Linked DNA regions of Canis lupus familiaris. The protein of the gene in region 1 binds, or shares a complex with, the protein of each later gene. Links are inferred from orthologs where the notes say so. Each region holds a gene or a part of one and is shown in the gene's direction. Other genes may lie near its edges. The genes, in order: tubulin alpha-1B chain and KIAA0895L.

What was found.
Region 2: the proteins of tubulin alpha-1B chain (region 1) and KIAA0895L are in contact, whole or in part, in a cryo-EM structure (PDB 7Z6S), measured with the Homo sapiens proteins. The link is inferred for Canis lupus familiaris from reciprocal best matches to the Homo sapiens genes TUBA1B and MATCAP1. Residues at the interface, in NP_006073.2 of Homo sapiens: Asp345, Trp346, Arg422, Glu423, Ala426, Ala427, Glu429, Lys430, Asp431, Glu433, Glu434, Val435, Gly436, Val437, Asp438, Ser439, Val440, Glu441; in NP_001035805.1 of Homo sapiens: Lys219, Cys220, Trp223, Val226, Arg227, Gly237, Glu238, Val239, Val240, Val241, Gln242, Leu243, Met253, Met254, Val255, Glu256, Asn257, Ser258, Arg259, Pro260, Thr261.

Annotation. Positions count from the first base shown.
Region 1 is NC_049248.1:41,187,079-41,191,437, reverse strand, and holds the start of tubulin alpha-1B chain, read left to right. Parts: upstream 1-1,428; 5' UTR 1,429-1,673; coding exon 1,674-1,676; intron 1,677-3,093; coding exon 3,094-3,316; intron 3,317-3,456; coding exon 3,457-3,605; intron 3,606-3,986; coding exon 3,987-4,359. UniProt on the Homo sapiens protein: Tubulin is the major constituent of microtubules, protein filaments consisting of alpha- and beta-tubulin heterodimers. Microtubules grow by the addition of GTP-tubulin dimers to the microtubule end, where a stabilizing cap forms.
Region 2 is NC_049226.1:82,767,452-82,771,971, forward strand, and holds the start of KIAA0895L (uncharacterized protein KIAA0895-like homolog), read left to right. Parts: upstream 1-1,565; 5' UTR 1,566-1,992; coding exon 1,993-2,068; intron 2,069-2,662; exon of another isoform or gene 2,663-2,735; coding exon of another isoform or gene 2,736-2,762; intron 2,763-3,202; exon of another isoform or gene 3,203-3,830; intron 3,831-4,052; coding exon 4,053-4,520. Other genes in the region: EXOC3L1 (exocyst complex component 3-like protein), read left to right, coding at 51-173, 251-406, 498-622, 710-899. UniProt on the Homo sapiens protein: Tyrosine carboxypeptidase that removes the C-terminal tyrosine residue of alpha-tubulin, thereby regulating microtubule dynamics and function. Also able to remove the C-terminal phenylalanine residue of alpha-tubulin TUBA8.

The DNA of each region.
Region 1 (4,359 bases):
AACATATTCCTGTCCCCAGGAATCTAGTTTGGAAAATACGCACAAATTTGGATCTTGAGTTGAAGACTTTTCAACAGGATTACAAAAAAATATTTATTAGAAATAAAAGAAAACCTCTTGTTTGTATTCCAGATTCATATGAGTGGAAAATTTACATATATATAAGAAGTAAAAATATTTCTGTATCTGTGTATGTGTGTATATCTTTATATATATATATACATACATATATCCTTATATATCCATATATGTATATATATCCCTATATATGTGTATGTATATATATATATATCTCCTTATAAACTACAGACATATTAACAGTGTAAATCTGTTATTTGTCTGATATGAAGGGTGAAGTTTTTACCAAGTCTAAGTAAGGTAATAACTGAATGTAAACTGTAAATTATTACTGTTTTATATTTACTTTTTCTTTACTAACATACTATCACTGGGAGGAGATTTTGAGGAGCAGCGTAACAGCAATAGGTTTCTGCTAGGCCCATTTTAAAGCCCCATTTTAACCCTAACTAACCACTTTATGCATTTCTAAGGGTTTATATACTTTATGGTCATGGAATAGTCTCCTCAAAGGCAGAGCTGGGAGGGAGTGGATATCCACTATAATCTGGGCCTCCTAGATGGACGCTATAATCAACTGATCTATCTTGACCAGCAGAAAGCAGTTATTACATACAGTTTTTGCAAAGCTCTAAATAACACGAGGTTTCCCTACTTCCTAACATCCTTCAGTGTCAACAATTTCCTCACTATCCAAGTTTCTGCCCTCACTTCTACAATTCAGCTCTCCTATTTGAAATGTATCTTTGGATTTCCCTTTTGAAAGCCCCTGGAACTGTTCCATAAAATTGTTGGTTATGCCTAAACACGGGGCCTAGGAAGCCCTTTTAACGGCTGCGATGTTCAAACTTAGGTATTACTCTCTGAATGACTCAAATGCTTTTGCATCCAACGTCTGCCACCTTAGTTTAACGAGCAAGTCATTAAGCAAATAAAACGAGTCTGTTTTCTAAACCTTGCATCCTCCACATTATCAGGTTAAGTAAAGACTGCACCGCCTTTAAAGGAGCTGAGAAAAGGGGGAAAAAAAAAAAAAAGGCGAGACTCACTGACAAATTGTAGCAACCTGAAAATAATCAGCTGAGCTATCCGGACCAGAAATTTCTGCATTTCATGGTGCTTCAGCTTTAACGCTGTACGGACTTCTTAAGTCTTAGGGTTCGTCCAAATTGAGGCAGGCCTCCTCTCCCGTCCCCGTGCTGGTTCGCGAACCCGCGCCCGCCCCCGCCCCCCGCCCGGGCCCCGGCAGCCATGCGCCGCAGACTGCAGCACCCGAGCTCGCTGTCCGCAGGCGCGGCGGACCCCGCCCCGCACGGCCGGCGCGCGGGGGGGGGGCGGGGGGAGGGGGCGCCCTGGGCCAGGAGCCCGCCTCTGCGGCGGCCGAGCCGGGCGCCGAGTGGGCGCGCCGGGCGGGAGGAGGGGCCCGCGGCCGTGGCACCGCCCGGGCCCGCCCGCCCTCCCGGACCGCTACTTAAGAGGCTCCGGCGGCGCCCCCGCCTCAGTGCGTTACTTACCTCGACTCTTAGCTTGTCGGGGACGGTAACCGGGACCCGGTGTCTGCTCCTGTCGCCTGCGCCTGCTACCCCGCAGCCACCATGGTGAGTGGGCCGCTCGGGGCGCCGCCCTTGCCCTGGAAGACCGGGGGAAGCGAGCCTGGCGGTCTCGGGGCGGGGGCGGGGGCGGGGGTGGGTGAGGGGGCGCCAGCCGGAGATGAGCGCCCTGATTTGGGAAGGCGAGAGGCGAGGCGAGGGCGGGAGCAGTGAGAACAGCTGGGGCCAGGACGGGGGGCCGCCGCGTTTTCGTCTCGGACTGTGGGAGAGGATGGCCGGGCGCCGGCTCCCGAGACCGTGGTCGGGGTTCTCCATTCGCCCTTACCTCTTGGGGCGCGGCGGCGGCCCGAGACCCTACAGCCTTTTTCCCGCGCGTTCCCATCCCCCCCTTTCCTTCCCCCGCTTTTGGCGGGCGCGCGCGCGGGCTCTGCACGCCCTCACTTCCTCCTCTGCCAGGAGCGCGGAGGCGGGAAGGAGCCGGACACAAAAGCGCACGCGCGACCGTTACCTTCCCGCCACAGGGAGAGGCGGGAGACCGCCCCTGCAGTCTGCGCGTGCGCGCCGGGTCGCTGCGGGCCTGCCGCTGTAGGGCGTGGCTCCTGGTAGCCTGAGTTTTCCTTTTTTATTTATTTTTTTCTTTCTTTCAACGACAGCCGTAAGATGAATGTGGAGGAGAACAGCTCCTTGTCAGTGTGCTGCGTTACGTCAGGGTATCGGGACAATTAGCTCCCAGCAGCTTCTAGAGACCATCTGTCCTTAACTCGGTATGAGTTAGGAATGCGTGTAGGAGCAGGTGGTGGCGGTGAGGCGTTCCGAGGGGACGGAAATCGGATCTTGCTCCAGATCTGGGCCGCCGATAATCCCCTGCCCTGCCCAGACAGATGTGGAGGTGCTGGGCTGAGCCCAACGCCTGGGGAAGCGGAAGAGGGTTGGCGGAGGCAGACCTTCTGCAGACGTGGCTGCGGCGTGTCTCTGCAGCTGCGCGGCCCCGCCGGCCGCAGAGGGGCGCGGGCGCGCGCACTCCCTGAATTGCTCATTCATCCTGTGCCGCAAAGCCCCGCCCTTTGTCCCTGCAGCCAGACGTTTCCTCCGCACTGCTCTGGCCACGTGCTTCCTGTGATGGGAACTGCCCGGAAATCTGGCTGCCCAGTCTAAAATGGCATTCAGAGGCCCGAGCCCTGGATGAATGGCTATCTATCTTCATCCTCCAAAGGAGGAAGCTGTGACTAAGCTCTCTTGCTCTGGAAAAAAGGGCCTTCCCAATAGAGGTGGGGAACAGAAATTCGTTAAAAGCGATGCAGAGCAAAAAGCAAAGGGATTCTCCCCCCTAGAGATCTAAAAGTATTGTGTTTTAACTAGTTTTAGAAGGGGAAGTTTGTAGAAATGACATGAATTTTGTTCTGCTTTGCCGTCATTACTAGATTAGTTTAAGACTGATTTTTATTTTTATCTGTTTTTTCCGCAGCGTGAGTGTATCTCGATCCACGTTGGCCAGGCAGGTGTCCAGATCGGCAATGCCTGCTGGGAGCTCTATTGCCTGGAACACGGCATTCAGCCCGATGGCCAGATGCCAAGTGACAAGACCATTGGGGGAGGAGATGACTCCTTCAACACCTTCTTCAGTGAGACGGGCGCTGGCAAGCATGTGCCCAGGGCAGTGTTTGTAGACCTGGAGCCCACAGTCATTGGTGAGTTGGCCTCAGTAACCCAAGTGAGCTCCCGGGGCACTGGGGCAGGAGGTCTGTCTGAGGCTCCACTGACAGCCTGGGGCTGAGCAGGGTCATGCAGGTTGTTAGTGATGGGTGGCCACCTTGTTTTCCTTTTCCAGATGAAGTTCGCACTGGCACCTACCGCCAGCTCTTCCACCCTGAGCAGCTCATCACAGGCAAGGAAGATGCTGCCAATAACTATGCCCGAGGGCACTACACCATTGGCAAGGAGATCATTGACCTTGTCTTGGACCGAATTCGGAAACTGGTATGTTTATTCTCAAGAATAAAGTAAATAAGGATCCGAAGGAAGACATTTGAGATACGATGTTTTGTTTTGTTTTTTTCATTTCAAATGCAGAATTGAAATGTAATGGAGTGAGGTGAACTACTCCTTTACAGTTTTTTGTTTTTTTTTTTAATTCAATTGAAACCTGAACTACTTGGGTGCTGTTTTACAAATACTAATGAAGATATTTTTAATTAAGAAATGCTTAGAAAGTCTAGGAAGGCCTACATGTATTTAAAAGCATTTCTTGTCAAAATAAGATCTATATTCTTGGAGCTGTATGAAAAGTGGAAATCTGTGTACTTATGATGATATAGCAAAGAGCAGTAATAGGTTTTCTCTATTCCTTTTTTCTAACAGGCTGACCAGTGCACGGGTCTTCAGGGCTTCTTGGTTTTCCACAGCTTTGGCGGGGGAACTGGTTCTGGGTTCACCTCCCTGCTGATGGAACGTCTCTCTGTCGATTATGGCAAGAAGTCCAAGCTAGAGTTCTCCATCTACCCTGCCCCCCAGGTGTCCACAGCTGTAGTAGAGCCCTACAACTCCATCCTCACCACCCACACCACCCTGGAGCACTCTGATTGTGCCTTCATGGTAGACAATGAGGCCATCTATGACATCTGTCGTAGAAACCTCGATATTGAGCGCCCAACCTACACTAACCTCAACCGCCTTATTAGCCAGATTGTGTCCTCCATCACTGCTTCCCTCAGATTTGATGGAGCCCTGAATG
Region 2 (4,520 bases), on another chromosome or scaffold:
GCTAGGTCTGGTTGTTCCTCCAGCCCTGTTTCTGCTCCCCCATCCCGCAGCCCCTGTTCACGGCTCTGCCCTCACGCCGGTGGCTTTCGAGCCCAGAGCTGCTGGACGACGTGTGCAAGAGGACGGAGCGCTTCTGCCAGGATTTCAGGCGCGTGCGGAATCCTGCGGTCCAGGTGCGTTGAAGGGGAAGACTGTGGAGTAGGGAAGCGCCCACGGAAAAGGCATGCTGGACCCACTGCGCTCTCCGCAGCTGCTCCTGGCCGAGGCGGAACGTACGGTGGTACTGCAGTACCTGCGCGCGCTGATGCAGGGCCGCCTGGTGTGCCGAGGCGCGGACGAGAGGACCCGGGCGGCCGAGCGCCTGCAGCACGACGCGGCCCAGCTTCGGGAGCTCTTCCTCGGCTTGGTGAGAGTCCGTTAGGGGAGCAGCTGGGCGGGAGTCTCAGTGGTTGGGCGGGGGCCGAAGGGGGACTCGAGACCTACTCCGCGGTGCTCAGGGCCTGGAGGAGAGTGTTCAGTGCGCGCCCGTGCTCCTCGCTCTTCGGGACCTGCTGAACCTCCGCGACCCCATGCTACTTGGCCTCGAGGTGGCAGGCCTGCGACAAAAATTTCCTGACGTGAGGTGTGAAGACTGGGGGGGGGGATGGAGCGGGGGCGGGCTTGGGAGGAGTGGGGCGGAGGTGACACACACCCCTGTGGCGCCCCCTAGCGAGGATCACGTCTCTGCCCTCTTGGACCTGCGCGGGGACGTGTCCCGAGAGCAGCGCCTGGCCGCACTCAGCTCCCTGCAGGCCGGCCCACAGCCCTCGCCCCCCGCGGGTCGCCGCGCACTCTTCAGCCTCGTGCCGGCACCTACGCCTACGCTGTCCTCCTGCCTTCCCTCGGGGCCCTGTGCCTGACCCCGGGCTGCCCCCGAACACAGGGACGGCCCCCAGAGCCTGAATTGTGTCCTGGGGAAGGGCGGATGAAATAAAAATGCGATGACTAGGGGGTCCACGCTCAGCGAAACGCCTAAGGTACCCTGGCTCCGGCCCTGATGTGTGCGCGGCGCCTCCCGTATCCTGGCGTCGGCCGGTGTGGACGCGGCTCCCAAGTACCGAGCTTCCGCCCCCACAGGCGGACTACAGCCCCCCTGTCCGCGCCAGGGCACTGTGTGGAGGCCCTGACCGCGAGGCCCCCGGGCACCCGGCGCACGGGAACGCTCCGGCCCGCGTGGAGGGGGCGGGCTTAAGACACGGCCGCGCCCAGGGGCGTGACCCGGTGGCGGACACCGCCCCTCTGCTCGCCCGGCCCCGCCCCTGCCTCCTCGGGCGCGCGCCGCCGCCGAGATTGACGCGACTACGCGCGCCTTCGCGTAAGCGTGCGCGCGCCCGAGTGCGTGCGTCACCAGCGGTCGGCTCCCGCGGGCCGGGCGGCCGGCGACTGGTGGCTGCGGAGAGGGGACGGCGGTGGCGAGAAGAGGAGAGAACAGGTGGGGGCGCGGTACGCGGGCGGAACCCCCAGCCCCCGGGAGGCCGCGGAGGCGCGCGACGCGATCCCTACTCCTCTAGCCGAGAACCCCCCTCCATTGTCCTCCGGCTCCGCCCTCCACTGGCCACGCCCCTTGTCCCATCCTCCGCCTCTTATTGGCTGCAGGTCACGCCCCTCCTCTATCTCCCCGTCCCCATTGGCTCCCCTTCCACGTTACCTTCTCCGGGAGTTTTTTATTGGCGCAGGCCACACCCTCTCATTTGTCGCCAGACTCCGCCTAGTGCCCGGGCTCCTCCCCAGTCATCTTTCATTCATTCCTCATGTAGTGTTGGGTGCTTGGGACATGGGGGTCAGTCAGACCTGTCCCTGCCCTCAGGGAGTTAAGGGGGTGGTGAGGAAACACGGATCTGGGCTCCGACAGTGACAGCTTAGGGTGGTAAAGGAGCCGCCCAGACACTGGGAGCCTCCAAGACGCCAGGAAGGCCTCCCGGAGGAGGTGAGACCCAAGCCGAGCCCTGAGGAATGCTCAGGAATTTGCTACAGAGACATTGCGAGGGCAATCGTGGCAAAAGAAGTGAAAGAAACAGTTGTATTCTTGGTAATTGCGAAGACGTAGGTCGAATGAAAGAGGGGGGAGTGGAGATGAAGGCGATTGATCCAGAGATTGTGCCCAGAGACCAGTGAGGAGTCCAGAGAAGTGTGCAGTTGGTTGAGAAGAGTAAAGTCTGAGGCCTGAAATCTTTTCAAAGAGCTGGTCACCAGGCAGAGGGAAGGGAGGTGGGGGCAGGGGACCAGATCTAGATAGGGAGACATAGTGTGGACAAGGAATGTTTCCAGTTCTGAGAAGAAGTACTCTTGGGTTCATTTATTGAGCAACTGCTCTGGGTCAGGTACTGTTCTGGGTTCTGGGGACACAGCTGTTGAACATTCGAAAGGAGAAAGCAGATAACTATACTATACTGTGCTTCATATGGTGATAACTGCTTCAGAAACCAATAATGTGGGGAAGGGAAGATTGTGGTGGAGAGGAAAGAGGAGGTTCACCATTTTATAGTGATTCAAGGAGACTTGTCTAATAGCATATTTGTGCAGAAATCTGAGGAAAGTGGGAGAGGTGAGTCCTGTGGTTATATGGGGAGAAGCATTCCAGATAGGGGACATGTTCGGTTTTAGATGCTTATTGTACTTTTAGGTAAAGATGTTGAATTGATAACTGGCAACACCAGTCTGAAGTTTATAGAAGTCTGGGCTGATGTATTTGAAACATGAAAGCAGATGAAATCACTCTGGGAGTAAGTATAAATGGAGAAGAGGGGAGAAGTGTCCATAGAAGTTTCCAAGTCCTGAGCCATTACAGTGTTAAGAGGTCAGGAAGATAGGAATGATGAGCAAAAAAGGCCAAGAGGTAACAGCCAGTGAGGTAGGAGAACATGTTTGAGTGTATTTGGGAAGCCAAGTGGGGAACATGTTTCCAAGATGAGATGATTAATTATGTCCTGTGCACTGTTCAATATGAAGATCATTGATGACCTTGGTCAGATTCAGCTCAATTTTAATGGAGAGTGGGGATAAAAACCTAATTGGAGTGAAACGTAAGAGAGAAGAGGAAAGAAGGGTTGAGACTGTGTACAGATGGGTGATGGGTGTTGTGCTGCAATAATGAGCAGCTGGCGGGAGATGTGGGGCTAGAGGAGTTTGGGGTCAAGTGGGGGTTTGGTTTTGTTTTTTTTAGGACAGAAATAACAGCATGTATTTATGCTGATGGAAAGAATCCAGTAGAGAGGAAGAGATTGATGGCGTTGGAGAAATGCTGGAATTGTGGCCCTGAGCAGGCAGAGGAGTTCAAAGTCTGGAGCCTTCAGACAGTCTCTGGGGAGAGACTGGCTTGTTCTGAGCCCTAGTACAGAGCAAGGGGTGAACATGCCAACGCTGGCCTGGGATGACCACTAGAAAGAGGCCTCTGATAGGAGACAGACCAGGAATTGGCTTGAATTTGCTCAAGTCTCCCTCTGCTCCCCAAAAGCTGATCCTAATTTGGATTTGAACAGATGACCCAGAGGAGAGAGGACGCATTCCAGGTGGAGGAAGTAACATAATCAAGGGACATGCAGGCCCCCGACCTGACTGAGGCCAACTGGGGTGGAGGAGGTGGTGGAGCTAGATGGGATGCGAGGGGTGAGACCGAGAAAATGCCATAGGCGGAAGGCAGGTTGAAGGTAGTGAGGCCCCCTCAGCTGTCCTCCCGGCAGCTGGGGCTACGCCACCAGGTCTCAGTCTAGGTGGGCGCTGAGCACGAGTTGGGGCTCGGGCCTTGCTCTCGGCAGCTCATAGGCTAAGGGGATTCCAGAACCACCATCTAGGTGAGTGCATAGTTCCTGCTTTCCCCCAGTCCAGCTTCCTTGGATGAGCCTGCCTGGAGGGAATGGACACCGGGAAGGGGGTGAGGGGCAGCTACCCAGACCCCTGGTGGCAGGCCCCGAGCCCACTGAACACCTGGCCAGGGCATTGTGGAGCGCAAGGCCTGCTGATGCTCAGGCCACACCGGCTCATAATGGTCTCCACATGCCCTTCTGTGTCCCCAGAAGTCGACAGTGTGGGGAGTTGGAGTGACCCGGCTGGATGTGACCCCCAGGACAGAATGGTGCTGGACTCAGGGGCTCAGGTGTATGAACAGGCACCCCCCAGCCCGCCAGCTAGTCCCTCATCCTTGGGCCATCGGCTGAAGCCCTCAGACCGAGATGGGACACTGCTGTACCCCTGGCCTCGGTCCCTGGCCTTGCCCCTGGCTCTGTCAATCCCCTCAGCTCTGCCGCCCAGGCCTGAGCTGCAGCCCTTCTCAGAGCTGCACTTGGGCCACCGTGGCCACATGCGTCGCAGTGAGAGCACCTATACTGTAAATAGTACTGGCCGGCGGGGAGGTGGCCCCCAGGGTCGGGCCCCACCTGGACGGGCACGGGACCCAGGTGGGGGCACCCTGCGGTCTGCGGCCTCCCTGCCTCACATTGCTAAGACTCGAAAGGATGCAGGCCGTGGTGCCAGCAAGAGCCCTT